Xenopus tropicalis: one gene and its partners. The protein of the gene in region 1 interacts with the protein of each later gene in a pairwise test. Links are inferred from orthologs where the notes say so. Each region holds a gene or a part of one and is shown on either strand. Other genes may lie near its edges. The genes, in order: max, plekhf2, mga, mxi1, mxd4 and mxd3.

Evidence for each region.
Region 2: the proteins of max (region 1) and plekhf2 interact in binary tests that used the Homo sapiens proteins (3 or more experiments, as listed by UniProt). The two-hybrid records come from large-scale screens. The link is inferred for Xenopus tropicalis from reciprocal best matches to the Homo sapiens genes MAX and PLEKHF2.
Region 3: the proteins of max (region 1) and mga interact in binary tests that used the Homo sapiens proteins (3 or more experiments, as listed by UniProt). The link is inferred for Xenopus tropicalis from reciprocal best matches to the Homo sapiens genes MAX and MGA.
Region 4: the proteins of max (region 1) and mxi1 interact in binary tests that used the Homo sapiens proteins (3 or more experiments, as listed by UniProt). The link is inferred for Xenopus tropicalis from reciprocal best matches to the Homo sapiens genes MAX and MXI1.
Region 5: the proteins of max (region 1) and mxd4 interact in a two-hybrid assay, tested with the Homo sapiens proteins (2 studies listed by BioGRID). The link is inferred for Xenopus tropicalis from reciprocal best matches to the Homo sapiens genes MAX and MXD4.
Region 6: the proteins of max (region 1) and mxd3 interact in a two-hybrid assay, tested with the Homo sapiens proteins (4 studies listed by BioGRID). The link is inferred for Xenopus tropicalis from reciprocal best matches to the Homo sapiens genes MAX and MXD3.

The regions. Positions count from the first base shown.
Region 1 is NC_030684.2:119,934,801-119,940,138, reverse strand, and holds the start of max (protein max), read right to left. Parts: upstream 3,465-5,338; 5' UTR 3,323-3,464; coding exon 3,287-3,322; intron 1-3,286. UniProt on the Homo sapiens protein: Transcription regulator. Forms a sequence-specific DNA-binding protein complex with MYC or MAD which recognizes the core sequence 5'-CAC[GA]TG-3'. The MYC:MAX complex is a transcriptional activator, whereas the MAD:MAX complex is a repressor.
Region 2 is NC_030682.2:130,454,511-130,459,781, reverse strand, and holds the start of plekhf2 (pleckstrin homology domain-containing family F member 2), read left to right. Parts: upstream 1-1,959; 5' UTR 1,960-2,161; intron 2,162-5,271. UniProt on the Homo sapiens protein: May play a role in early endosome fusion upstream of RAB5, hence regulating receptor trafficking and fluid-phase transport. Enhances cellular sensitivity to TNF-induced apoptosis.
Region 3 is NC_030684.2:105,153,847-105,158,553, forward strand, and holds part of mga (MAX gene-associated protein), read right to left. Parts: intron 4,287-4,707; coding exon 4,155-4,286; intron 4,006-4,154; coding exon 3,377-4,005; intron 1,429-3,376; coding exon 879-1,428; intron 533-878; coding exon 324-532; intron 1-323. UniProt on the Homo sapiens protein: Functions as a dual-specificity transcription factor, regulating the expression of both MAX-network and T-box family target genes. Functions as a repressor or an activator.
Region 4 is NC_030683.2:2,931,963-2,936,669, reverse strand, and holds part of mxi1 (max-interacting protein 1), read left to right. Parts: intron 1-613; exon of another isoform or gene 614-641; coding exon of another isoform or gene 642-774; intron 775-3,032; coding exon 3,033-3,144; intron 3,145-4,707. UniProt on the Homo sapiens protein: Transcriptional repressor. MXI1 binds with MAX to form a sequence-specific DNA-binding protein complex which recognizes the core sequence 5'-CAC[GA]TG-3'. MXI1 thus antagonizes MYC transcriptional activity by competing for MAX.
Region 5 is NC_030677.2:21,431,676-21,436,260, reverse strand, and holds the end of mxd4 (max dimerization protein 4), read left to right. Parts: intron 1-433; coding exon 434-548; intron 549-847; coding exon 848-1,007; intron 1,008-3,180; coding exon 3,181-3,323; 3' UTR 3,324-3,382; downstream 3,383-4,585. UniProt on the Homo sapiens protein: Transcriptional repressor. Binds with MAX to form a sequence-specific DNA-binding protein complex which recognizes the core sequence 5'-CAC[GA]TG-3'.
Region 6 is NC_030679.2:46,161,863-46,167,245, forward strand, and holds the start of mxd3 (max dimerization protein 3), read left to right. Parts: upstream 1-2,244; 5' UTR 2,245-2,270; intron 2,271-2,321; exon of another isoform or gene 2,322-3,023; intron 3,024-3,709; 5' UTR 3,710-3,846; coding exon 3,847-3,916; intron 3,917-5,383. UniProt on the Homo sapiens protein: Transcriptional repressor. Binds with MAX to form a sequence-specific DNA-binding protein complex which recognizes the core sequence 5'-CAC[GA]TG-3'.

The DNA of each region.
Region 1 (5,338 bases):
ACTAGGCTTTGTACGATAATATTGGTGTGTGTATGGCCACCTTTATTGTGAGAATTCTTTATTAATCTACTAACATTCTCCACATTCAACTGATCAAATAAGAGCTTCCCAGTATCCCCCATCAGTGTCTCCCATCTTTGTCTATTTATGTGTATTACTATTTTTTTTTTTAAATTGCTATTTTATATTCATAACAATACCCTGCTTGGTATTAAAGGTATGGGCTCTATTACTCTACTAATAAGGGCAGGGGGTCTTTCTTATTGGTATTTCCCACAAATTCTACTGCATGATTTGCCTTTATTATGGATCTGTACTGGGTCGGAAAGCATTAAATACAAGGCATTGTGTAAATATTATTAATAAAAACAGAATGGGTCAGAAATTACCCAAGGAGAATAATGGATTAGGCAATGTCAGTTTTTAGTTAATAACTAGCTTCCGGATTTATCATCCATATCTATGTTACCAACACGCTTATACATTAGCCCAGTCCTCAACAATGAAACTAAGAACCAAATTCTGGATACATTACCAGCAACTCTAAGGGCCCTGGCACACGGGTAGATTAGTTGCCGGTGACAAATCTCCCCGAAATGCCATCAAACCGGCAGTTCCTCTCAAGGCAACTTCCGCGATTTCAGGGAAAACGCGGCGCCGCGTATGCCATCCCACCGGCGATTTACATTTTTGCCAGTGGGATGGCATTTCAGGGAGATTAGTCGCCCATGAACAGGGAGATTTGTCACGGGCGACTAATCTCCCCGTGTGCCAGAGCCCTAATAGTACAAAGCCATGAACACTACTAGTATTCCAGGACAGCCTACTGCCTGGATGTGGTCCTTCTTAAAGGGGACATGATTACTCTGTACAAGTACATTAGAGGGGATTATAGGCAGATAGGGGATGTTCTTTTTTTCCCATAAAAACAATCAACGCACCAGAGGCCCCCGCTTTAGATTAGAGGAACGGAGCTTCCATTTGAAGCAGCGTAGGGGGTTTTTCACAGTGAGGGCAGTGAGGTTGGGGAATGCCCTTCCTAGTGATGTTGTAATGGCAGATTCTGTTAATGCCTATAAGAGGGGCCTGGATGAGTTCTTGAACAAGCATAGTATCAAACACTATTGTGACACTAATATCTACAGTTAGTATTAATGATTGTATCTATAGTTTATGTATGTGAGTGTATAGATTGGTAAGTATAGGTTGTGTGTGCTGGGTTTACTTGGAAGGGTTGAACTTGATGGACAATGGTCTTTTTTCAACCCTATGTAACTATGTAATATGAACAACTATGCCTAACATCACCATTTCCTACAATCTGATCCTCTCCAAAATATTTAATATCAAGGGTAATATAGAAAAAAATGGACAACAAACAAGCAAGCCTGTCTCACTGGGACACCAAACAACCAGTGGAGAAATGATGAAGCTCCGCCCGCCCCCCCCATGAGTCTGGCCAACAGAAATATATACAGACACCTGTTCATAGTATAACCTCTGGCTGTTACCCTTCCAAAATAATAGGGTATGCATACACGTTTGTTGCCCTTCACCGAGGTGTCTATCTTACCACCCTGCAGTTATTGTTGGATAGGTACCAACAACATAGAAAACAGGTCAGTAATAAAGGCACTAGTCCCAGAGTCCCATGCCCACCATACAGAGCAGGTATCATTACACATCTACTGGGGCTGCCTGGTGTGTATGCGATGTTTACACTAAGGGGCACATTCATCAAAGTACAATTGAGTGTGAATACAAAAAAAATTGTTTTAGAACTGTGCGTTTTTTTCGCAACTTTTTCGTACTTTCCAACAATTTGCACGACAAAATCGTATTTGTCGCAACGAGTACAAAAGTTTCATTATTCATTCAAGCTTCAATATCGTGACTTTCCTTGGGCCAGGTTGGAGCTGCAGAGTGCCATTGAGCCCTATGGGAGACTTTCCTTGGGTCGGGTTGGAGCTGCAGAGTGCCATTGAGCCCTATGGGAGACTTTCCTTGGGCCAGGTTGGAGCTGCAGAGTGCCATTGAGCCCTATGGGAGACTTTCCTTGGGCCGGGTTGGAGCTGCAGAGTGCCATTGAGCCCTATGGGAGACTTTCCTTGGGCCAGGTTGGAGCTGCAGAGTGCCATTGAGCCCTATGGGAGACTTTCCTTGGGCCGGGTTGGAGCTGCAGAGTGCCACTGAGGCCTATGGGAGACTTTCCTTGGGCCAGGTTGGAGCTGCAGGGTGCCATTGAGCCCTATGGGAGACTTGCCTTGGGCCGGGTTGGAGCTGCAGAGTGCCATTGAGCCCTATGGGAGACTTTCCTTGGGCCAGGTTGGAGCTGCAGAGTGCCATTGAGCCCTATGGGAGACTTTCCTTGGGCCGGGTTGGAGCTGCAGAGTGCCATTGAGCCCTATGGGAGACTTTCCTTGGGCCAGGTTGGAGCTGCAGAGTGCCATTGAGTCCTATGGGAGACTTCCAAAATCCTCCACTGAAGGGTCAAAGTCAGAAAGGTTTTTGAGCCGTTTACGATCGTACGGATACGAAAATTTCGTAACTTTTGCATCGTACCACGATATTTTCGCACAAGTACAACGCGACTCTTCGCAAAATTAACGCACATTAGAAATTTTTGTATTTAATGCGAATTGTCGCCAATTATACTCTTAATTTGTAATTTAATGTATCGGCCCCTATGTGTTGGTGAATGTGATAGGGACCTTAGATAGTAAGCTCCACTGGTGCCAGGCTGATATGAATGATGGGATACTTCAGTGCTATATAAATAACAATAAACCCCAGACTGATGAAGGTACCCTGGGCACTGAAGGAATGCTGGGGTCCTAGTATATAATAATATCATAATGGGGATATTGATTTAAGGACCCTCCAGCTGTTGGGCTGCAGCCCTCCCATCCCTGCCAGGGGAGATGCTAAGGATTGCAGAGCAGCTGGAGGGCCGGTGGATGCTACAAGTTATACTACATACAGTGCAGGAGGGATACAGAGTCCTAACAAATAAAACAAGATGCCCTGAGATACTGGAAGCCCAGGACAAATGCCCTCTCTCTGCCCTACCCGAAAACCTTCTCCGTATTGCTGAGGATGCTGGGATTTGTAGTGCAGCAGGACCTAGGCACACACAGAATAGGAAACACTGTTCCTGTTACAGCTAGAACCAAAAGCGGTGATCCCTGCTAAACAGACAGTTGCCCCCTCTCCAAGGGACAACACAGCCACCCCCGCCCCCACCCCATATAAAGCCAAGTTAAAGGGAAGCGGAACCCGCACTCACGTCGCTTTCCACCTCGATGTCATCGTTATCGCTCATGCTTTCCTATAGTGATGGGAAGGAGGGGAGAGGCTGCTCGGGCCTGAAAACAAACACTATGGGCAAAAAGAAAAAAAAAATAAAATCCGAATTAAGGGAGGGAGAGAGGGGGGGAAGAGACCCTCTCTGTGCCCAGGAAAACACACCAACGGAAGCCACACGTGACTCCACACTGCTAGGGATCATTAGCCAGAGCTCTAGCCTCTCAGAGAGCCGGCCCGCTGCATGCTGGGAAATGGAGTTCACTAGGGCCGGAAGCGCTCTGCCAGCTTATGCGCCTAAACACGGAAATTGACTACAACTCCCTTATAGCCTTGGGAGCAAACAAGCTTTACTGCGCAGGCGCGACGTTCCAGGCCGCTGATGGGATTTGTAGTCTACACAGGTAGCGGCTTCCCGGAAGTGGGCTGGAGACACGTGTATAGACGGGAAGCTGGGCGAGTTTGTGTTTGTGTGACTGGGCTGCTGTGGCGGCTACGGGCTTGTTGTGTAGTGACAAGGGAAGGGCCTGCGGGGGAGATGGGAGAGAGGCTTAGGGAAGTAGTGGGGCTTTTCATCTTCATCCGCTTTGGACTAATACAAACTGATATTATATCGTTTAGGGGTGTATCTCAAGTCGTAAGCGTATTTATGTATATCACATCTACAGTTTGGTTGTTCCGGGGGCAGAAATTATATGATGGGAAATGACGTTTTATGCCATTTCTAACAAAAAGATACCGACACCAAGCGTGTTGCTAACGAAGCAGATGCCATAGCAACCTTTTCGTGCACCTGTTGTCAGCTCGGCAGATATAGAGTATAGAAAAGCCCTGCGTGGTGCCTACTGTATTGTGTGAAATAGCTGAATAAAGCAAAAAAAAAAAAATACTACCCTTTACAAGCTTAGATTGTAAGCTCTACAGGCTTTCCTACTGTGCCTCATACCAAATGGTGCTTAATCTCTGTGTATATATACTTATTTGTTATGTTTTTTATAATATGTGCCTTCCCCGTGTGTACTGTTATATGATTGTACAGGTATTGGATCCATTTTCTGGAAACCTGTTATCCAGAAAGTTCCGAATTACGGAAAGGCCATCTCCCATAGATTCCATTTTAAACAAATGATTCTAATTTTTAGAAATGATTCCCTTTTCTCTGTAATAATAAAACAGTACCTGTACTTGATCCCAACTAAGATATAATTACCCCTTATTGGGGGCAGAACAGCCCTATTGGGTTTATTTAATGGTTAAATGATTCCCTTTTCTCTGTAATAATAAAACAGTACCTGTACTTGATCCCAACTAAGATATAATTAATCCTTTTGGATGGAAAACAATCCTAATGGATTTATTTCATGTTTAAATGACATTTTAGTAAACGTAAAGCATGGAGATCCAAACTACGGAAAGATCCCTTATCCGGAAGACCCAAGGTCCCGAGCATTCTGGATAACAGATCCCATACATGTACATCTCTCCACATTCCTGTAGCGCTTTATAAAGTTATACAAACGTACAGGCCCCTTGTGTATTATTCAGCTGATATCTGGCAGATTGAGGGGTTACAGTGTAAACACAGGCTGGTACTCCACAACTGTCCAAAAAATATCCAATAACCGCTCTTATTGGGGAACCCACAATAACTTGTGCGTCTCACCTACACTCACTCTATGGGGCCTATTCATCAAAGTACGAGTTTGAATCCCGAAATGGGAAAAATTCGGATTAAACACGATAATTTCTGATGATCGCAAATATCACGAAAATGCTTATGAAAAAAACGTATTAGTCATGATAATATTGTATTGGCGATCCGAAAGCCATGAAATTTTCGTATCCGAACGATCGTAAACGGCGGGAAAACCTTTCTGACTTTGATCCTTCTGTGCATGATTTTGGAAGCCTCCCATAGGAATCAATTGCACTCTGCAGCTCCAACCTGGCCCAAGGAAAGTCTCCCATAGGGCTCAATGGCACTCTGCAGCTCCAACCTGGCCCAAGGAAAGTCTCCCATAGGGCTCAATGGCAC
Region 2 (5,271 bases), on another chromosome or scaffold:
GTTTGTTTTTATTTATGTTTATTATGCACCCGCTTGGAGGTGTCAGTGGGTCTTTGTGTGCTGTTTATTCACTTTGAAAAAGGCTATTAATTATCATTAATTACCAGTACCGTAATTTAAAGCTACACACATACAGTACAGTATAGAACAAAAAAAAAAAAAAAAACTTACCACCACCCTAGGCTTATACTCGAGTCAACAAGTTTTTCCAGTTTTCTTAGGTAAAATTAGGTACCTCGGCTTATATTCGGATCGGCTTATACTCGAGTATATACGGTAACACACATGTAGTTGGCTGCTTGGGTGCATTCTTGGGTTGTGCAATGTGCGTTTGCTTAGTTATATTTTGTTCCAGCATTCTGTTAAATTGATCTACACCTTCTATTTCCTCATCTAATAAACCAGAACAATGTAGTACATATATTATGAATCAGCGAACATGTTCTCTATGGCCGAAATAAGGGAAGTAGACATCTTAACTGCCGGGCAGCCTGGTAAACATAGGAGGCTGGGAAGAGGCCAGTCGTGGGTCATTCAAAGGGTGCACTTTATTGGGTGCACATGAAACAGACAGAGTTTTGCTGGGGGCCTGGGGCCATGACGTTATGCCCTTGCCAAGGTTCATTTACATCATATTATCTTTAGCTGGAAGCAAAAGTGAGTGTTAAAGGAGGTTAAAAAAGTAAGCTTTATCAGAAAGGTTTATGTAAATACAGCCATAAGCACTCACAGAAACGCTGCACTGAGCCCTCTATCTAAAGAAACACAGGATTTCTTGTCTCCTTTTTGGGACTTCCTCTCTCAGAAAAATCCTTCATTCTGGGAGCCAGAGTCTGCGCAGCTCTCTCCCTTCTCCTAACTCGCGTAAGAATTCTTAAACCTCACTCCCCCCTCCCATCAGAATGTGTGATGAGCTAGAAACAGCTAGAGCTGCAGCAGGAAGCTATGAAGACCAAGCTAAAATGGCAGCTGCTATCTTCAAGGAGAACTAAAGCCTAACTAAAGAAGTAGGGCAGAAATGTTGAACATTAAGGGGGAGATTTACTAATTCACGAATGCAAATCCCGAAAGGGACAAAATCGCATTGGAAACAAAAATTTTGCGACTTTTTCGTCGCTGTCGCAATTTTTTCGTATTTGTCACGACTTTTTAGTTGCTGCCGCGACTTTATCGTATTTTGCGCGACTATTTCATCGCCATCGCAATTTTTTCTTATTAAGCGATTGTAAACGGCTAAAAAACCAATCCGATTTTTTCACGACGGCGGCGAAAAAGTCGCAGAACATACAAAACAGTTGTGACAGCGACGAAAAAGTTGCAAAAATACAGATCATTACGAAAAAAACGCATTCGGACGCCTTCGTGGATTAGTAAATCTCCCCCTATGTTTTGGGCTTTTGTACACGGCATCCACATCTCTTTAGGAGGGACGATCTGCGCCCCCACTATCAGACGCCATTTCTGCCAAATACATACATGCACATAAACTTGTCGATTAAATAAGTGCATATATGTTTAAAATGCATTCTAACTCACTTCAATGTATTTTGGTACGTAATGCACTCGAAAACAAAGTTTGCCACCTCCAACATGGCGTTTGCCCCTCCCTCACAAATAAAATAAACCATTTCCCCGTTACACAGACATGTATGAAGCCACAAGTTTATGTTTAAAGCCAGAGGTTTGTTTTGTTTTAATACTGCGTTATGGGTAGAACGCAGCTCGGCGCCGCTACAAAGCCAGCAGCTGCCACACTAATACATTACACTACTACATTACAGTACATTACAGTACTACACTACTCCAGCAGCAGTTGCAGCAGCGGCAGCGCAGGTTGAAGGTCCCTGCCCCAAATCCCCACATGCCCTGCCGCCCCAGCCAGCCAACGCCGAGGGGCGGAGCTCGCCCTTTTCACGTGATGAGAGGAGTGTCCGCCCTGTCTCTCAGGAGTTTATGCTGCCCGTTCCTTTTATTTATTATTTTTAACGCTACCGATACTTCCTAAATCCCCGATGAGCGGCGCAGGGGAGGCCGCGCGTTATTTTGCGCCGTGTCAGGAGTCCGTGTGAGCCGCCGCCGCCGCCGCAGGAGAACTTACCGGGAAGGCACAGGAGAATCGCAAAGCTTAGCTCTCGGTGTAGTAATCACTTCCTTCACTTCGGTAAGTTCGTAACGCACTCACCCCCCCCCCAGCGGCGTTAGATGGTTTGTCCCATAACCCTCACCCTCATTCCTGTCAGTGTTTGTGGGGTGAGCGGAAACTTTCCCTCCGAGCTTTTCCCGCGGCCATGTTGTCAGTCAGTGAGAGACACAGTTGGCAGCTCATTATATTATTACTAGTGGCACTTTGCACCGAGCTTGGTACCTGCCACGATTTCAGGCTTTTATAACTGGCAAAGCATGGCAGAAACACATACCTATTATTTTAGTTTCCACTATCTCTCATCTATTCATTCTAACCATCTATCTATCTACCTATCATCATCTATCTATCTATCTATCATGTCCTAGGCCACCTGGGAAGCCAGCAGGGGTACAGGCAGTAGAAATGTTCAGCACTTGAGGAGAGGAAACAATTCCTACCTGTTGTAGAAACTAAATTCACTGCTGTTACCTCCAGGCCACTTTTACTTAGCATTTTTTTTTTTTTAAATAGGCCTAATGTTTAAAAAAATCCATTTGGCTTTTACTGCCCTGAGTCATCGCTATGCAGCGGCGCAGCCAATGGGGAACTGACCTGCCATGAGAAGCCCAGTTATTCCATGACAAAGGGACACACTTGGTTTCAGTGCTGTTTATGGTTTCTCAGTTTGCAGAGTAAATATCTCATAGGTATCAGGCATAATGTACCCCTTATTGTAAAGTATGACGCTATCCGTCAGCAATTGTGTGACCATATAAAGGTATTAAGCACATAGTCTGCCCACAGCAACCAATAGCATGTTTGCATTTTAAACAGGTGACCAGTGAATTCTGCCTGCTGGTTGGTTGCTATGGCTTACAAGTGGCTTACAGCACTTATATTTGCCTATTTGTGTCTGTAAGTTACCCTCCCATATAGATTGTAAGCTCTACGGGGCAGGGACCTACATCCTCCAGGCAGGAACCCCTCCTGCCTACCCCTAGTCTGCTCTCTTAGTGATTGCCCCGCCGCTTATCATGCAGTGGGGGCAATGATCTATCGCGTCACAAACCCCGCCCCCCTCGACTGCGCATGCGCGAAAGCACACGGGGGGCGAGGTAGCCGACCGGGTTGCCTAGGGCGCCCGGTCATCTTGGCCCGCCCCTGGGTGCGACTAATCTCCCTGTGTGTCATGACCCTTAGGGCTGTGGCAGACGGGGAGACTAGTTGCCCCCGACGAATCTCCCTTGTCGCGGGCGACTAATCTCCCCGAAATACCATCCCACCGGCAAGTATGTAAATCGCCGGTGGGATGGCATATGCGGTGCCGCGATTTCCCCGAAATCGCAGAAGTTTCCTCTCCAGAGCTGAGGGCAGAGCTACTAGTAGCAGCTACTTGTCATGGCTAAAAAAATAGACAATGCTGATCATTTACTGATAATTGTCTCTACGTGTGTTTTAGCAGAGCCAATTTTCAGTATTGTCTATGGCAGGGTATTTTCTGGCATTTAGTAGCATTGAAAAAGTAGCTGCTACTAAAAGCCCAGTGTGTCTTCACCCTTAGGGAGAAGGAGGTTGTAGGTTTAGAAAGGGGGAGAGAGAGCAGCAGAAGGGGCTGTGCCTGACCTGTTGGTAAAGCTGCTCACTGCCCACCCTTTTCTGTGGAGCTTCTTCAGGTTACTGACACTGGTGGGTGTATGATTATGAAACTCCAGATCTCCAAAACACTTGTGCATACAGGGTCAGAATAATTTGCATGAAAATTCTGATTAATAAAACATAACTTTGATGGTAACTCCTATGATCATAAATAAATGATATAGCTTTTCTATGTTGCAATAATCCTTTCCCCTTTGACATTTCATATGTATGGGAGGTGTGGTGTACTTCTGTGTCCCAGCCTATAAGGGTTTAGGAATTTGCATGTCACCGGTGATTTTCCCCAACCAATAATTTTGCCTCAACTTCTTATTGGAAAGAGCGGTAGATTGCTGCTGTTGCAGTTGTGTCTTCCTTGGGCGGGGATGACACTCTATCCCTACACACAGGAAAAAATGTATTTCTGAGGACTTCCTGTAACTGCTACTTGCGCTTTAGGGTTCCCTTATAGAAAAAATGGGTAGGGGAGCCTTGAACTCCACAGTTTTTGGTCTGATTGTGGCAGCCTGTGTGCTGGTAACCTGTAGCTGCAACTTTATTCCAGTTGTTGAACTTAAAGGGGACCTGTTACCCACACATTAAAAGCTTTAAACTCCCCCCAACAGCCTTTGATTTTCTTAGCTAGATTGGTTTGACTTCCCCTTTGCAGTTCATTCAGCAGAGTGTTTATTGTGCTGTACAGTTTCTTGGCAGGAGGCTATTTCATTTCATACACCAGAGGCTCATTGAGTAGTGTTAACTGGTTCAGGAACACAAGGGCATAATTCCTTACCCTCTATTTTTGCACAGTTTCTTAGAATGCACAGCACCACTGCTTTGTTCAGTCTTCAAAAGAGATGATGTTTCAGCCTTCTGTGTAGTGTTTACCTAGTGCCTGTTTAGCAATAAAGCGAATAAACACAAGTATGCAGAGTTCAGAACAAAAACACCCCTGAAAATGAATCATTAAATGCATAACTATTATCTCTGCTAGGACCGGCTGTCAGAGCATGCTGGGAAATGTCATTTGCAAACAGCTGGAGTACGATACTCAGGGGCCAGATTAGGAACACTGCTTTCCTAAAGAATTACTGCGCTGATGCAAATAGGTTTGAACAGACAATTGAAAGAGCTAAAAGTAAATACCTGGTTGCCTGGGTTACCCCACAGGTGCAGCATTTCCCATTGTTGCAAATGAATGTTATATCCTATATATTTTAAATGGGGCATATTATTTTTTGTAACGCACTGTGTCATAGGCTTAATATTTTATTATTTGGATCCCCTGTTAGATCTCAGTGGTTTGGTTTATACAGTATTGTGTATGGCGGAATTATTAACTTAATGGAGAATCCCCCTCCCCCAAAAAGGCCTAATAAATAAAAATCTAAGCAACTTTACAATATGCATCCATTGGAAATGTTTAGTTGATTTTAAAGTTTTTTGTATATAAATGTAACAGTATTCAGCTCTCATCCAGCCGGTACTCTAATCCCCACAATGTCTTGCAC
Region 3 (4,707 bases), about 15 Mb from region 1:
AAATCTATGTATTTGCTTTAAAGCACCTGATTTCAAATATACATAATAAAGTATCCATTTAAACTTCCACTTTTTGAGCAACCAACTGAAGTTTGATTATCTAAAATAACTGCATTAATAAACCAACCATTTGTTGCTGTGCAACTGTACAACCTGGTGTCCTTTATATTTCACTACCTTTATTTTTTCTGAGGCAAAACTTTTTGATCAATATACAATGAATCATATTTTATGAGAAAAATAAAAACCCATAAATGTAACTTTCGGTATCTAGTTCATGTACATAACCGTAACGGTCTGGACTGGTAAAGCATCGTACTTACCATATGGTGCGAGGATCCTCCACAAGCTTTACTCGTGCCAGGGGGTGTGTGTTTTTCGGACTGCAGCTGTTCAGTTTGTGGCATTCGGACTTTGCATTCCTCCAACTCAGACTGTTTTGGAATACATATTGGCTCGGGATCTGCATCATCTTCCCATATCTTCCAAATTGGAAACTGTTCTAGAGGCAAAGGGTAAATATTCTGCTGGCCTGTAAGAAAAATATGCAATAACTAAAGCATGATTTGCTGAACAAACAATGCTCTAAACACATAAGAGAACCATAATAATAAATATAAAAAACAATAAATCGTACCTTACTAACATCATATATTCCCTACAAAAAAATGAACAAAAAATTGAAATGGATTGTACACAATGTTTTTAAATTAAATGTGTTGTGTGCTGATTCACCTGACCAAACATTCTCAAATATTAAACAATGTGCATGACACGGATATGTAAGTCCCTGCAAGGAATATACTGATCAACTCCAATTATAACAGAGAGGGAAACTCTAACAGTAATTAGTTAAAAACAGCAAAAATGTCACTCACTGCTCTCTGCAGAGTTGCTTTTGAGTCTTTTTTTGGCTTGTTCCCTGGTTCTTAGAACCTCTTCAGAATCTCTTGTTGAAAGGGAATAAGGGTTTTCTTGATTGGCTGTTTGTTCCATGCAGTCTGCTGAACTGTCAATGTCTATTCCATTATTTTCTGAAAGCTGTTCCATGCACTCTGCTAAGTTTCTGATGTTGGACACATCTTTTTCTAGAAGGTGTTTTGTGCACTGCATTGAGCTTTTGATATCTATCCCAACCTTTTCCAGAGGCTGTTCCATGCATTCTGTTGAGCTTTTCATACAGAAACACTCTTTTTCTGTAAGTTTCTCTGTGCACTCCATTTTGATATCAATTTTATCTTTTTCTAGAAGCTGTTTTTCTTGTATGCATGAACATTCAAGCATGCAGTCAGCATGGCGGCAGTGAGCAAAATTGTGCTCCTTATTATTAAGACTCTGGCACACACAACCCAGCCGGCAGAACAATTTGTTGCATGGAGAAATTTGTTTCCGAACAACTTTGTGAATTGGTTTGTTTTTAAGAGAAGCCTAAAAAAAAAAAAAAAAAAAAGACAAGAATTTTTAATTTATTGGAAAACTTGGTAGTTTATAAATCCTTAGCAATAAGTTTGCAATGGTTACCACTAGGCACGTGCTTCCTTAAGAACCTACTACAGGAAGCCGAAGATTATAGTCTTGTTATTTGTTTGAAATGCTACATGCCAAAGATGGTTCCCCAAATGTTAAGGAACTCCCAACATGCAATAACATTTGACTAAAGTTGTAGTCCAGCAACATCTGGGGCCTGCGGTTAAGAAACAGTATCAAAGACAAAGGGTAACTAAGTAGTTTGGGGGGTACTGCAAGAGCTCACCAATAGACTGGCTTCAATAAAAGCTATTACAATGAGCTATGATTCCCTCCAATGTATCCATTAGTTTTTAACTGTTGGCATTTTGCTCATGTGTACACTACACAAAAGGCAAATACATGCATAAAAACGATTTTATTGAGATTCCTGACACGTATAAACCTACAGACATAACACATAATAGCCTAATGTAAAACATACATTTAGGTTATTTTCCCTATGATATCTTTTACTTTAACAAAAAAAATTCAGAAAACCTTATACACTTTACATCTGTAAGCAAAAATCTTTTGGTCATCCATGTACCAGGCCAAACTAAGTTGATCCAGTTGTTTGTCTCCAGACCAAACTGCATAGGCCCAGAGCAAATTAAAATGTGGGCCTATGCAAACAGACTGGGAGGGAAAGTCATCAACGTGCTGATGCAGAATTCATTCAAATTATTTTAGAAATCTACCTGGTCGATATTCAACCATTTATTGGTTGGACAGGGCCTATACAAGGGCCACTATACAGCTGAATGAGTCTGGAGGGCTGGACAACTTATATCAGCACTGTTGGATAGCTCTAGATCATTAAAGGGGAAGGAAAGGCTAATAAAGAGTTAATCTCAAGCTGCAGGCATACTTTCAGCTCTCTCAATAGTGCCCTTAAGTCTCCCCATATTTCTCCCATTCAGAGATCAGAAGCCATATAGGAAAAAAAAAAAAAAAGCTGAGTTCTGTAAAGAAAATTCTCATAATGCCATGCTCCGGCACCAAGACCAGTGTACATGCTCAGTTTGTAAGACTATGAGAAAGCTTCCTGCTGATTGGGTCAGATCACACATTCCTAAAAGGGGGGGGGGGGGGTAGGGAGTTCTTAGCATTCTTGAGGGTGGAAGAGAGGACAGAGCTACATGTCTCTGGCACAGGAAAACAAAGACAAAAAATCCTGTTTAATTTAAAAGAGAACTCAGTGCAGCATTTCTGTGAGAGCTTATGGCTGTATTTACATAGACCTTTCTGATAAAGCTTACTTAGTTTTTACCTTTCCTTCTCCTTTAAGAATGGTAACAGGGTAATTCTGGGGAGTGAATGATTTATTGTCCAACCCTATTGGCACTGGGGCGTGCATCTAGCCTCCTGAAGCACTTAATTGACCTTTAGGCATTACATCATTTTTTAAATAAAAAAATAAGGAGACATTGTTTGTACATCTGACAAATACTTTATATAAACAAATAATACTATATTAGTGTATTTAGGGTATCTCCATTTGTTCTCTCCAGTTTAGGGTTTAGGAGAAAGTAGATATATCTGTTATTATTGTAACTGGATACACAAAGATGGCAGTTCCAAGTACAGGTATGGGACCCGTTATCCAGAATGCTCGGGACCAAGAGTATTCCGGATAAGGGGTCTTTCTGTAATGTGGCTCTGTAATTCTGAGCTTTCTGGATAATGGGTTTCCGGATAACAGATCCCATACCTGTACAGTTATATTTGGGAGCAGTAACAGTCAATAGTCCGTTACATGTATATACAAATAGATAGCTCTCATCTTAGAAGCTCTCAGGTTACCTATCTAAAAAATTCTTTTATAGCCAGGAACCATGATAAAAAGTACAATTAATAGGCAAATTACCTGTGCAGTGAGGAGGACAACTAAACATGTATCTGCACGCTCCTCTGTAATGTAAGTGCGTGATTTTCCTTTCCAGAGGGTATTTTCCTCCATATCCAAAAGTTTCATGTGAGACTTGGAAAATCCAAAAGGTCGTAATTGGGGTTGCTGATTTGGCAGCTGGACTTGCCTTATACTAGGCAACAAGGTCTCTTCTATGGATGGTACAAGGCTGGGTATCCCTGGAATGACCTGATCCGATTCCTGAGAAGGCTTAATAGAGGTCATACCAGTTTCAGAAGCAACAGGATTGTCTCTTATATTCTCAAACTCCAAGGATTGTTTTCCCTTTGCTTTTATTTTTGGTGTTGAAGCTTTGCATGGTGTCTTGGTTCGTTTTCTTTTTGCATGGGGTTTTGATGCTTTTGAGGAAGGTGATGGCAGAGAAATTAGCTTCTTTAGCACAGTATGAATGGTCTTTACAGAACTTGTACTTACAGCCGGAAGCTGGCTAATAGCTGATGGCTCTGGCTCATTTTGTGTAATGCCACCAGAAGTCTCCATTAATCTGGCCTCATTCTCAAGATATTCGTCTAATTCATCACTACAGAAAGCTGAGCGATTTTTCAAAGAGCTGTCAGGGCTCTTACCTATAAAATACGAGAAGCATGGCTAATGTTACTATTTATTAAAGAGGCTGTATACCCTCTTTTCAACATGAATTCACTGAATAGGGAATTAGCCATTTTTGCCTAATGTTTCACAAAAATCAAATCAATATAATAGATGGCATACATACCACTGATCACTGGTTTTGAACTATGATTATTAGAAGAGGATGGCATGGAATTTGAGAATTTATCCTTCCAGCCTTTTATCTTTGTGTAATCCATTGTTTTGCCAGTTCTGGAAACAAATGGAGATCTAGAAGCTAAAATAAAATAAGCAAAATAACTTGAATTATGTGATTTAGGCAAGTCTTATACATATACCTACAAGCATGATATAGCAATACAGAATATTTCAAGCAAAGAGAGATGAGATAATGTTTCCTTTTCAGTCTTGTAAGTATCTGCAAGTATCTTCAGATGTTCAAAAAGAATAAAATATTAGGAGTCTGGCTATAAGATGTTCTGAGTTTTGTGAATCAAAAAAATGTCTTACCTAAAAGACAAGGTTTACGTTAGAAAAAAAACTATGATTTTCAGTGATTGTTCTATAAACATATGGAAAAATGTATATTCTGTCTATGTAATACAATATAAAAGATATATAAAGGACCTATTTGCACTTATTGCACACAATTGCATGGTATTAATATAATCTTTATACATTCCTCATGTAGAAGAAAA
Region 4 (4,707 bases), on another chromosome or scaffold:
CTGCCCCTACCCCCCCATGTTTAGTCTATTCATTTGCCCCCACTCCCGTCCCTAAACTGCCCCTACCCCCCCATGTTTAGTCTATTCATTTGCCCCACTCCTGTCCCTAAACTGCCCCAGCCCCCATGTTTTGTCTATTCATTTGCCCCCACTCCTGCCCCTAAACTGCCCCTACCCCCCATGTTTAGTCTATTCATTTGCCCCCACTCCTGTCCCTAAACTGCCCCTACCCCCCCATGTTTAGTCTATTCATTTGCCCCCACTCCTGTCCCTAAACTGCCCCTACCCCCCATGTTTTGTCTATTCATTTGCCCCCACTCCTGCCCCTAAACTGCCCCAGCCCCCCATGTTCTCTCTATCCAACGGAGAGGGTTAATAGGTGACGGCATTGCAGACTTGGGGCAGAAAGACTACATTTCCCAGCAGCACTTGCGGCTCAGAAGTCCGTCCCTTTCTCTCCGCAGCGAGATGGTAAACACAGTGCGAGTCAGTGCAGCCCGGGAGCCTGAGAGGCAACTGCCCCCCGAGTTCTGCCCCCCCCCCCCCACCAACTGCCCCCCAGCCTGCCCCCCCCCCGGGCTCATGTTCCTTTGCATTCCGGGCTCTCAGTACCCGACTCCCCATTTATTCTATATATATATATGAGAGAGAGTTGGGGGTACCTGTGGGGGTATTTCGGGGTGCCCCTGCCCCGGTGCATTATGGACTGTGTCCGGATGCTGAATGTGCAGCGCTTGCTGGAGGCGGCCGAATACCTGGAGAGAAGGGAGAGAGGTAAATGGGCTGGGAATGTCCCCCTTGTGTTTCCGTAGCTGGTACAGAATTACAGGGGCTGCTGGGTAACTGAGGAAACTCCTCCTTGTCCGTAAGCCTCTGTACCTGCATGGGAATTAACCCTGTGAGTGCCAGAGGGCCCAGGCTGGGAATGTGACTGCCCAGTGGGGGGGGGGGGGGGGAAATATTCCATAAAATATAACATTTGCATTGCTAATATGTATTTGGGGGGGGTAACAATGGGGGCCATACATGGCTCTGTGTGACTAATGAACATGAGTGGGGAGTTGGGCAGAATTGACACACACACAGGGGCAAATTGAGGGAACTTGTACCCCCCCCATTGTATGATTGTATTCAACTTGATTTGTGTAATTAATTCCCCCATTATAATTAGGGCTAGCGGGGGATGGGGGGGTACCCTTTCCACTAACTGCCCCCGGGGGGAGAGCAGGAGGTTTGTTTGGAAACATGGCGCCCCCCCATGTGGATTATGCAGTGCGGATTTATGGGATGAGCTCATCTCCCCCCGCAAACCCCCCCCCCAGTGAGAAATGGTTTGGCCTCAGTGTAATAATGAGTTAACTTGTCGGTCGTTACTTCCTGCCACAAATAAAATGTTATTCTGGATATTTGGAGGGGGGGGGGTTTGCATTATTTATGGGCTGAGAGACCCCCCCAGCAATCGGATTCATGTCCCTAATTGCACTGAGCTTTAACTGCCCCCAGTTTATTTGTGATGGAGAAAGACTGTATTAATAAAGGGTAAATATACCCAATTACTGAATGTCTCTAGTACTAGGATACAGCTTATTGTGTGCCCAGAACATTCCTTCTCTGTATATTTGTATTTATACATATGGGTAGGAGGTGCCATAGTGTTTCCCTTAGACAGTACAGTATGGGGGTACAGCTTATTGTGTGCCCAGAGCATTCCTTCTCTGTATATTTGTATTTATACATATGGGTAGGGGGTGCCATAGTGTTTCCCTTAGACAGTACAGTATGGGGGTACAGCTTATTGTGTGCCCAGAACATTCCTTCTCTGTATATTTGTATTTATACATATGGGTAGGGGTGCCATAGTGTTTCCCTTAGACAGTACAGTATGGGGGTACAGCTTATTGTGTGCCCAGAACATTCCTTCTCTGTATATTTGTATTTATACATATGGGTAGGAGGTGCCATAGTGTTTCCCTTAGACAGTACAGTATGGGGGTACAGCTTATTGTGTGCCCAGAACATTCCCTCTCTGTATATTTGTATTTATACATATGGGTAGGAGGTGCCATAGTGTTTCCCTTAGACAGTACAGTATGGGGGTACAGCTTATTGTGTGCCCAGAACATTCCTTCTCTGTATATTTGTATTTATACATATGGGTAGGGGGTGCCATAGTGTTTCCCTTAGACAGTACAGTATGGGGGTACAGCTTATTGTGTGCCCAGAACATTCCTTCTCTGTATATTTGTATTTATACATATGGGTAGGGGGTGCCATAGTGTTTCCCTTAGACAGTACAGTATGGGGGTACAGCTTATTGTGTGCCCAGAACATTCCTTCTCTGTATATTTGTATTTATACATATGGGTAGGGGGTGCCATAGTGTTTCCCTTAGACAGTACAGTATGGGGGTACAGCTTATTGTGTGCCCAGAACATTCCTTCTCTGTATATTTGTATTTATACATATGGGTAGGGGGTGCCATAGTGTTTCCCTTAGACAGTACAGTATGGGGGTACAGCTTATTGTGTGCCCAGAACATTCCCTCTCTGTATATTTGTATTTATACATATGGGTAGGGGGTGTCATAGTGTTTCCCTTAGACAGTACAGTATGGGGGTACAGCTTATTGTGTGCCCAGAACATTCCCTCTCTGTATATTTGTATTTATACATATGGGTAGGGGGTGCCATAGTGTTTCCCTTAGACAGTACAGTATGGGGTACAGCTTATTGTGTGCCCAGAACATTCCCTCTCTGTATATTTGTATTTATACATATGGGTAGGGGGTGCCATAGTGTTTCCCTTAGACAGTACAGTATGGGGGTACAGCTTATTGTGTGCCCAGAACATTCCTTCTCTGTATATTTGTATTTAAACATATGGGTAGGAGGTGCCATAGTGTTTCCCTTAGACAGTACAGTATGGGGGTACAGCTTATTGTGTGCCCAGAACATTCCTTCTCTGTATATTTGTATTTATACATATGGGTGGGAGGAGCCAGGCCCTGGGCTGACATGTTGGTGCCGTTGCAGAGTGTGAGCATGGCTATGCCTCGACCTTCCCGTCTCCGGAGAGTTTGGACCCACAGGGATTAAAACAGAGAAGGATCAAGTCAAAGAGATGCAGTGGCCTCGGCATTAGCAGGTAGGTACCTACCCACTCACAGTTACACCACACAAACCAAGAAGTGGTTCCTATAAATAACCAGGGTTTAGCAGCCCAGTTCTGACCCAAAGATTCAGTATCACACAACTTTATAGCAGCAGCCACAACATTTCCAGGAACCATTAAGGGCTCTGCACTGCTGGTTCTGACTCCTGATACAACTCCCCAATATCCATTCATCCCTCATTCTCACTGGGTTTATAGTTATGTGTAACTGTCACTGTGTCTGTCCCTTTCCCTTCCCTGCACTGCTGGTTCTGACTCCTGATACAACTCCCCAATATCCATTCATTCCTCATTCTCACTGGGTTTATAGTTATGTGTAACTGTCACTGTGTCTGTCCCTTTCCCTTCCCTGCACTGCTGGTTCTGACTCCTGATACAACTCCCCAATATCCATTCATTCCTCATTCTCACTGGGTTTATAGTTATGTGTAACTGTCACTGTGTCTGTCCCTTTCCCTTCCCTGCACTGCTGGTTCTGACTCCTGATACAACTCCCCAATACCCATTCATCCCTCATTCTCACTGGGTTTATAGTTATGTGTAACTGTCACTGTGTCTGTCCCTTTCCCTTCCCTGCACTGCTGGTTCTGACTCCTGATACAACTCCCCAATACCCATTCATTCCTCATTCTCACTGGGTTTATAGTTATGTGTAACTGTCACTGTGTCTGTCCCTTTCCCTTCCCTGCACTGCTGGTTCTGACTCCTGATACAACTCCCCAATATCCATTCATTCCTCATTCTCACTGGGTTTATAGTTATGTGTAACTGTCACTGTGTCTGTCCCTTTCCCTTCCCTGCACTGCTGGTTCTGACTCCTGATACAACTCCCCAATATCCATTCATCCCTCATTCTCACTGGGTTTATAGTTATGTGTAACTGTCACTGTGTCTGTCCCTTTCCCTTCCCTGCACTGCTGGTTCTGACTCCTGATACAACTCCCCAATATCCATTCATTCCTCATTCTCACTGGGTTTATAGTTATGTGTAACTGTCACTGTGTCTGTCCCTTTCCCTTCCCTGCACTGCTGGTTCTGACTCCTGATACAACTCCCCAATACCCATTCATTCCTCATTCTCACTGGGTTTATAGTTATGTGTAACTGTCACTGTGTCTGTCCCTTTCCCTTCCCTGCACTGCTGGTTCTGACTCCTGATACAACTCCCCAATACCCATTCATCCCTCATTCTCACTGGGTTTATAGTTATGTGTAACTGTCACTGTGTCTGTCCCTTTCCCTTCCCTGCACTGCTGGTTCTGACTCCTGATACAACTCCCCAATACCCATTCATCCCTCATTCTCACTGGGTTTATAGTTATGTGTAACTGTCACTGTGTCTGTCCCTTTCCCTTCCCTGCACTGCTGGTTCTGACTCCTGATACAACTCCCCAATACCCATTCATTCCTCATTCTCACTGGGTTTATAGTTATGTGTAACTGTCACTGTGTCTGTCCCTTTCCCTTCCCTGCACTGCTGGTTCTGACTCCTGATACAACTCCCCAATACCCATTCATTCCTCATTCTCACTGGGT
Region 5 (4,585 bases), on another chromosome or scaffold:
CAATTAACCTGTATTGGGAGTGTGGGAGGAAGCCCACTATGTAAAGAGAATAACAAACTCCTTGCAATTAGTCCCCTGGCTGGAATTGTATTGGAATTGTACCCAGGACCCAAGCGCTGTAACCATGGTTCAAACTACAAAACCTACAGTTCCATTGTGCTAGAGTTTGGCTCATAAGGCAGGGAACTTATTCAGTCCTAATTGGTCGCTTGGCTAGCAGCTTACTTAGTCATGTGACATCCTTTCACTTCTGATTGACAGGTTTTTCAGACCATGCACCAAATCTGACGCCTCTATTAGTGGTGCTGCGTCATTATGTGAATATGCTGTTCTGTTGATTATGTCATGCGATCAGCAAGAGATCTTATTGGCTAGGAAAACGTTGCTCTGCACTCCCTGCTGACCAACCATTCTCTTCTTGTTTTCTTTTTAGGCGAGCAAAATTACGATTATATTTGGAGCAGCTAAAGCAACTCGTGCCTCTTGGGCCAGATAGCAACAGACATACTACTCTAAGCCTTCTGAAAAGAGCCAAAATGCACATAAAGGTACTTTAGCTAGACACGCATTCAGCTAGAATGATGGGTAATTTAGCTTGGACATGTAACTGGGGAATTCATTTGAGTTTCCTCTAGGTTTAGTAACAACCAATCGGTAGTTAGCATCTATTGATCTACTAATTAAAAACAAACATATGATTGATTCCTATGGGTTACTAGACCTGGAGCTGTCAATCGGTTATTTCCCCCACTCCCCGTCTATCTGTTTGGTATTCATCTATGGCCAATATATGCTGCTGCTGCTGCTTATCATAGTCTGTCTTTTTTTTTGTTGGTAATTCTGGTAGAAACTAGAAGAACAGGACAGAAAAGCTCTCAATGTTAAAGAACAGCTTCAGAGAGAACATCGCTACCTCAAGCGCCGTTTAGAGCAGCTCTCCGTGCACGGGATGGAACGAATGCGCACTGACAGCATGGGCTCCATTATATCCACAGATTCGGAGCAAGGTAATGGAGAATAATTGGTCACCTTGCCTATTTTGGCTCTATATAATTCTAATTATGGCTGGGCTACACTGGGCTACACTCATTTAACAAGCGATTGCGCCCTGGGAATGATGCACTCTGCACCTGGAGCTGGACTGAAAATCCGGTACTAGGTACAGAATGCAGCGTCGGGGGGCACAGGGGAGCCCTGTCCTTACTGCCTGCCCTAGGGTCCCTACACGCCTGCACCCTACTGCTTATTGCAATACATTGATGATGAACTCAGTCATCATTGTAATCATAGGGGAAGCGGCGGTTCAAAATAGAGCACACAGATGTGCGGCTATGTAATAATCACGAAAGGCCTTCTGCTAAGTAACATGTTCGTTACCCTAGTAATACTTGTCACTGAGAAATACTAAGATGACAGTTTCTGTTGCTTAAAGGTCCCCATACACGGGGCGATTCTAGCTGCTGATATCGGTCCCTTAGACCGATTCGGCAGCTAATTGGGCCCTACCGACGGGCTTGCCCAACTGATACCTGTCCTGAAATCTGCCAGATATCGATCGGGCAGGTTAAAAAATCTAGTCGGATCGGGGACCGCATCGGCTTATTGATGCAGCTCCCGGACCGATTTTTCCTATACCCGCCATTATAATTTGATCGTTTGGCCCCAGGGATTCTCCCGATATCGCCCACCCGTAGGTGGTTCATGCGTACCACCATATGTAATACAGGACACAGGAGCAGTTATTCATAGACCCATCAACATGTGTGTTTTTAAACAAGTCACCAGAAAATTCTACCTGCTGATTGGTTGCTATGGGTTACTGCACTTGGGCAAACTTGGTTCCTTTTTTACATAACCCCGTTGGTGTTCTCAGGGCAGCAGCTGAGAAGCTAAGCTTAGGGGTCATAGGAAATTATTACAGAGTATGAGGTTGGCCTGTCATATAAAGTGATGCTATAGGGCTGATTATTAAATTCTGTTTACTGCACTGGTTTCTGGGCTGCCATGTAATGTAAATCCACATAAATTACTAATGTCACAATATTGTGACATTTATATTCTATATTTACAGTATACTGTAGTGTGACATTATATTCTATATATACAGTGTAGTGTGACATTTATATTCTATATATACAGTATATAGTGACATTTATATTCTATATATACAGTATATTGTGACATTTATATTTTATATATACAGTATATTGTGACCTTTATATTCTATATATACAGTATAGTGTGACATTTATATTCTATATATACAGTACAGTGTGACATTTATATTTTATATATACAGTATATAGTGAGTGAGTCTCTAAGCTCAGGTAAGTGACAGCAGCACAGAGTATGGGCAGAGAATCAGCAGAAAAGAAGATGGGGGGGGCTAATGGGGCATCTTTGGGGGCACAGACCTTCCCTGCTACACAGTATAGTGTGACATTTATATTCTATATATACAGTATAGTGTGACATTTATATTCTATATATACAGTATAGTGTGACATTTATATTCTATATATACAGTATAGTGTGCCATTTATACTCGGTATATATACAGTATATAGTGAGTGGGCCCCTAAGCTCAGGTAAGTTACAGCAGCACAGAGTATGGGCAGGGAATCAGCAGAAAAGAAGATGGGGGGCTACTGGGGCATCTATGGGGGCACAGACCTTCCCTGCTAAAGGCCTATGGTTGCCTTGGGCTGGTACAGAAGCCCAGAAGCCCTACTTCTTTAGTTGCGCTTTAGTTCCCTTTAATGATAGCTTGGTATATCATAATTTGCATGCAGCAAGTTAGCCAATCACAGTCAGGGTCGGACTTGGGTTGCAAGGCCCACCGGGCCTCCTGCATCATGGATCCTGCAGGGTCCCCAACCCGGCATCCTCGCTGAGCGCACATAACTTTAACGCATTAGGGGAGGAACGGTCACACAATGGGAGCGCTGGCAAGGGTCGGGTCGGGTTTGGGCCGCCGGGGCCCACTGGGATTTCTCCTGGTGTCCCGGTGGTCCAGTCCGACCCTGATCACAGTGAGCCTTTCTGAGGCCATGCCAGTCCCCATTCTCAGCGTACATTTCACATCATTATCTTAGTTATACACCTAATTAATATTTACAAATGTTACAACCGATGCATGCAAATGTTATGGCTGAACCTCTCCATTTCCTCTCTCCTCAGAGGTCGATATTGAAGGCATGGAGTTCACGCCAGGGGAAATAGACAGTATTGGCAGTGACGTTGATGACCACTACAGTTTGCAAAGCGGCTCCAGCAGTAGTGGATACACACATTCCCTGAGGCTCAATTCCAGACTTTCATAGTGGCCTGAACACTGGACCAATTCAGGACCACCAAGCTGAAGGCACTTATAAAGAGAAAACAAGGAAAAAAAACTTAAAAAAAAAAAGAATTTCAAAAAAGAAAGTTACTGATATGTCAACTGCCATTTGGCAAGGGCTGAACATGCTCAGTCCCGACAAGGAGCTTTTATGTGCTGAGGCCCCTTGCATTGTAACCACACCACTACAGATTGCAACAAGGCACTATGTTGCAGGGGAGAAAAAAAGTACATTGTGGAACGGCCAAGTTTTAGCATAGGGGCACTTGCCAAGGAGAGAAGGGGGGGGACCTTGGGTGGAATATATACTGGAGCTCTTTTACCACACTGGGCACTGTTGCCGAAGTGCAGTAAACCATAGCAACCAGATTAGATATTTGCATTCAGTGTTCAGCAGACTGATCCAAGCAAGTTATTTTGGTTGCTGTGAGTCCTACAGTGAGGTAATTTTTTCCCAGTCATAAAGTAAATGAGCCCCATTGTAAGATATTAACAGCACATGTATCAAGGATATCAGCCCCCAAAATGTTTGTTAGCCCCCAACTTCTCAGTGTTGCCTTGGAGCCCCCTCCCCTCTTCTCTAACTTGGGCCGTGAGTTTTGGTGTGAGGTAATGGGGGGGGGGGGGGGGGACATTAACGAAATATAAAGTAGAAGCTCAACAAAGCCCTGTTCTACAATCATATCATTCCATTATATAGTATTACACAGAAACAGAGAAAAGGCGCAGGTCGGATTATTTTTGATTACCAGAGAACCATTTAGTTTTGAGAATGAAGAAGAATTTGTACAATGCTGGTCAAATTTCATAGCTATACGTAAGAATATATAAAGATATATATATATATCTATATAAAAAAAATCTACATTTTCTTGAAGTACAGGTAAATGAATTTTGTAGCGTCAGTATTTTAAGCACTTGGATTCGGAGAGGAAGAGAGAAGTCCAATTTCTATGACTTTTGTATGTCAAGGTGATCTTTGATAGGAGATTTTATTTTTCAGACTCTTTACTGTAAAAAAAAAAAAAGGTGTTTGCTCTGAGACTTTATGGGATATTATTCTGTTCCATTCAAATTATTGTCCATCCACTGTTGAGCGACCAGAGATGCATCCATTTGCTGTGCATTGACGGTCAAGGGAAAAGAATGTGCATTTCATGTTTGGAGATGATGTCCACTTAAATTCAGCTTTATACCTGGACAGGTGGAGGTACCTTTAATGGAGCTTTAATCGTGCAGAGCACC
Region 6 (5,383 bases), on another chromosome or scaffold:
AGCAACCGCAAAGAAGTGGAGTCCACATGATCAGTAGAGATATATTGTATGTAAATATATATAGGTTTCCTTCTATAAAATGTCAACACCTAACATCAATTTTTTATACATTTAACCAGAAGCAAACAGGCATTTATGTGGCGTTCCCAGTTGGAACTGACCTAAAGGTCAATGTGTCCACTATATGGGTTAAATGTGTATGTAGAAGGCTGTTATATTGAGTGACTAATTGGGGTGGATTCGAAAAATGACTGGCAAACACGGACAGAGCTAGCAATCAATGAGCAGAGCTGACAATAAATGGAGAGGAGACTCAGGGCCGCCATCAGGGAGGGAGAGGGGGTACTGTTGTTCCCGTGAAAATCTGCTTCGGAATGGGGCCCGGATGCGTCACAAAAGTTATGCATAAGGTTAGGTTGAAACTTACACAATTTACTTAACTTCCACAAATGTTGCCTGGAAACTTAAGAAACTGACCTAACTTGCCTGGCAACTTAAGTAACTTGCAAAATACAATGCAGAGAAGGGGCAAACAGGGGCAAACTCCACTCACCACCAATGAATTCAACAACTTAGAAGTAAATTCTACTTTCCTCCCAATTAACAGACTGACTTATTGGCACATTAATAATTGATTTTAACTATTTATATGAACTGCTTATTATAGAGTAATGTCAGCTTTTTGTTTTAGGAGCTATTTACTGAATTTTATTAGTGTCTTCTACATGAAGTTTCAGTAGGGGAATGACTGGTTATTGGGCTGCACAGCAACATCACTGGGTCCCTACGCTAATGCAATTTATGTAGCTTGTGCAAAAACGTATCTTACCTTAACAGAAAATTACGAAACTGAAGTATAAACTTCACTGACCCCCCAATTAAAATACTGGCTTATTAACACAGTAATTATTATATACTTTATATTATATTAATTGGGCCCCACAGCAATCAATCATTGGGCCTCTAAACTTACAGAGTTAAGTAGTTTATGTGAAAAGGTGGGAAAGGGTTAAACTTAGGGTAAACTCCACTGACCCCCAATAAACTGAATGACTTATTCATTGGACAGCACTGTACTAATGTATTTTCCATGTTGATTGAAAGAACACAACAAAGGCATTTCATCACTGCCAAAGCTTAGCAATTTTAAAGCTATATGAGATAGTGTTTGCTTTTGCGAACAAACCAAAGAACCATTGGCTAGGAAGCTGACGCACCGCCCTATTGGCCATCTAAGCCTGTTAGATTGTCCAGCAGAGCAATTAGTCTCCGGCAAGAGATCTCTGCTACAGGGGCCGTCTAATCAATCCGAAATGCCTTTGGCTTTCCAAAATCGTGTGAAGTTTCCTCCTGCAGGCCTTTCCACTGTTGATTCCTTTTTTTGCCGGTGGAAAGGTTTTTTGAAAAGATTAGTCGCCTGCGGCAGCAGAGATTTAGCGTAGGTGACTAAGCTCTCCGTGGGACATTATGCTTACTGCCAACGAGACTGTTCAAGTTTGGGATCCTAAAATCTATAAATAAACCTATGTGATGGTGTCCAGTCCTGCATTTGAGCACTTTGTCCTCCATCCTGTGCCACCTCAAAAGGAGGGAGCAGGGGTAATAAGAAAATAATTGGACATTTGTGGAGTAATTTTGTAGCACACTTTGGCCATGCCCCTCATTTAAGTCCCATTACACCCCAATGTCTGACTATGGGAGACAAAGACCCTAACACAGAAAGCATTGACACATCTCTGCAGTTGCAGGTAGAACGACAAATGTCTATGTTTCTGTAGTTACAAAGGCTTCACGTTAATAACTTGACCCACTTAGTCGTTTAGCAATGAGCTCTATTATACTTATTAGTTAGCACTGTAAATACGCCCTGGAACCTTAGGGGCTCTCAAGAATAAAATGTTTCGAGGAACTACTTTGAGTAGCTCAGTGTATCCCACTCTATCCCGCCTTCCTTCTCCCACCATTTTGTCTCAGTTTTACATGTATTCCGCTGCTTTTTGTGTTTGAAATTTTGAAAGGTGCTTGACTTTCCCGCCTGAAACTGTTGCCATAAAACATGACGCTTCTAAACAACGCCGCGCCCCCCTCTCTCAGTATCCAATAGAAAAACTCGCACAGGAAGCTCCGCCCGTTTCAGGAAGCTCCATGGTAACCGTGGTCTCCGGTAAGCGGCTGAAAACGTCCCAATCTCATTGTGCCAGCGACATCCTGGAGTAGCGGCAGGGACAAGCAAAGGGCCGAGAGTTGGAGCTCAAGTAATAATAGCGGCGGTAAGTGTAGCTGAGGGAAATATGTGACCTAGGGCGGGGCAAGGTGGGCGGGCCCGCAGGCAGTTGCACTCGTTCTGCCGTCGCTCGGTAGGTATCAGCTACGTTGCTTCTTCCGGTGTTGGTTCCGCTGTGTGACAGCTAGAGATCCCGACTCGGAGGACGGCCTATGCTGTGGGCACATATTGGAAGGGATCAGGTGAGGAGGGCGGATGAGCTGGAGAGATCCCTTGTAGGGTGGGGAAATCCGATCATAACAATAACAAGTCTTGAGAGGTGGGAGGCCTTAAGGAGCCAGCCTACAGCAGAGGGTTTCGCCCTGTACCCTCGGTCTCCTTGACGATTAAAAGTATAAAATACGTGTAATACTAAGTAATAGTTGGTCGATCTGTTTAGGAAATACAGGCAACCTGCAGATCCCCAGCCCTCCTGCAACTCTGTTGCTGCGATTGTGGGCTATTGAATTTCAGTAGGATGTGCAGCTTGGGCAGCACAGATTTATGGGACAGGGCCCAGCTCCCTGCGCTGCCAGGGGCCTCTCTTTTCTTACTCCTCGGGCCTTGCATAGAGCAAATATGGAGGCGATCGGCTGATAATGCTACACTAGGGGACATGGGAGGATCACGGCCCATATAAATAGAATTTGTTCTGTGTGGGGGGAGGAACTAGTTTGTAACTGAACTGGCTGGGACTGCGCTTTCCAGCATCCCTCCTGCCTCTGCTACTGACAGTCCTGCAGCTGCTGGAATTGCCAAGGTATCTTATTCATTTCTTCCTCCTTACTTGTACATTTATACATGGTTTTATTCAGCCAAGATATTAGTCACACAATTCTAGTAGCAGTGCAGGTGAATTAGAGATCACGGCCACAGAACAATTGCTGGGGGGCTTTTCACACATTCTGACCAGATCACCCCTTTAACTGGGGACATGTACAGGCATGGAACCCATTATCCAGAATGCTAAGGACCTGGGGTTTTCCTGATAAGGGGTCTTTACGTATTTCAGATCTCCTACCGTAAGTCTACTAAGAAAATTGTTTGAACCCAGTAGGATTGTTTTGGCTCGAATAAGGATTAATTATATCTTAGTTGGGATCAAGTACAAGGTACTGTTTTATTATTACAGAGAAAAGGGAACCATTTTCAAAAATGTGAATTATTTGATTAAAATGGAGTCTATGGGAGATGGGCCTTCCGTAATTTGGAACTTTCTGGATAATGGGTTTCCGAATAAGGGATACCTGTACTTTAAAAAGAAGAAAATTTGTTGCCAAATCTGTATTACTTCTTACTGTATTTTTTTCTATATGTTTGCCCAATAAAATGGGTGATTTGATCCCACTTGTGTATGTAGTAGAGTAGTTTAAGGATATTTTCAAGTAATATTTTTTCCTGACAAATGAAAAGTTGACCATATAATTATTGGTTCTTCTTGGACAGTTGGAACTATTGGAAGCTGTGAACTGCTAAGGTTAAGAGGCAGCAGAGAAGTGAGTCCAAAGCAAGAGACTGCCCAAGGAGCTTTGCCGAAATCAAGAATCTCTTGAGAGGCTACTGCTGCATCTCCCCCTGCCAAAATGGAGCAGCTCCCCAGCAATCTGCAGGTTCTTCTGCAAGCTGCTGAGTATGTGGAGCGAAGGGAAAGAGGTGAGTTTATATATATTTTTCTCCACCTTGTAGTAGTCTAGTCCAGGGGTCCCCAACCTTTCTTACTCATGAGACACAGTCAAATGTAAAAATACTTACAGGAGGCTTTATTTGGTAGGAAATCTTGTTTTTATTCAACCTAAACTTGCCACCAAGTCAGGAATTGAAAAATAACTACCTGGTTTGGGGGCACTGAGAGCAACATCCAAGGGGTTGGTGAGCAACATGTTGTTCCTGAGCCACTGGTTGGGGATCACTGGTCTAGTCCCCCAAAAGCTGTCAGGTGACACAATCTAGTGTCACAAGTTGGATCCCTGTCAATGTGCATGGGTTAACCAGTGCCTTAAATGTTAGAGCAGTAGTTGCAGTTGAAGGTACCCATTAGCTTGTAACATGTTTACATATATAGTTATATTAGCCATATTTCCAAGAATAACTAGTACCAAAACTATGTTTTCACTACAGATGCCATCCTAATTGACTGATAAGCCTTGTTCAGGTATGTCTAGGAGAGCAAATAAGTACTATCCCCAAATTTCACATCTCGCCATGTTTTTCAGGTTAAGCCCTCCTGCCACTGCTTCAGCCCCCGTATACAGGACAACTTAAGCTGACTGCTTGGCCTCTCCAGACCGATTGGGCAGCTTATTGTGCTATGTATGGCTCCAAAATGGTGGCATACTTGAAATGTTTCTGACCAGGGAAAATTCCATTGTGTGAGATGCGGTACTCTGCTGATGGGTGGCCACATTAGGCAGAGACCCAAAAGCAGATCTTACTGTGTATGCTCACTCAAACACTCTAAATTATGAATCACTATTTCTGACCTAAACCCTAAAACTGTAAACCCTGACGCTATATTAATTCATGAAACTGAATAAGATTGCACTTGATGGTTGGGCTACCTGTCCTGTCAACTAAAAAGTAGTAGCACTAGTGTAAGAATGTTATAATATAAGATGTACTTTTTTTGTTGTTGTCCCCTCTCATTTTCTATAGTGAGCTGGTCAAATATGGGCTGATAATACAATGCCCCATACAATGTATGGGGCCGACCAACTTGTCCAACCAATATCTGTCCAAAAACTGGGCAGGTTTGACTCGAGGAATGTATTGGCACAGTGCTGCAGTCCTCATTCGTCGGGTCCCCATAGGCCCCACTGTATGGGGTTGTGGGTGGCTGAATTAGATCTCGCCAAATAAGTTTATTACCGTGTAAGACCATCGGTATTTTCATTTTACTTCGTTGCTGTCTGTCCTTGAAAACTCTAATATATACTGAATAAATTACCCCTATTATAAAATCTAAGGATATTTTAAGTCACTGAGGTGATGTCCTATGACCAGGGGGGGTACTCTATATTAATACACAAGTTTAAGTGAGTCAAATGACATCACTAAGCACAATTTATAAGGATTTAATTGACAGGTTATGCATGGCTTTTGTATTAAATATATAAATGCGTT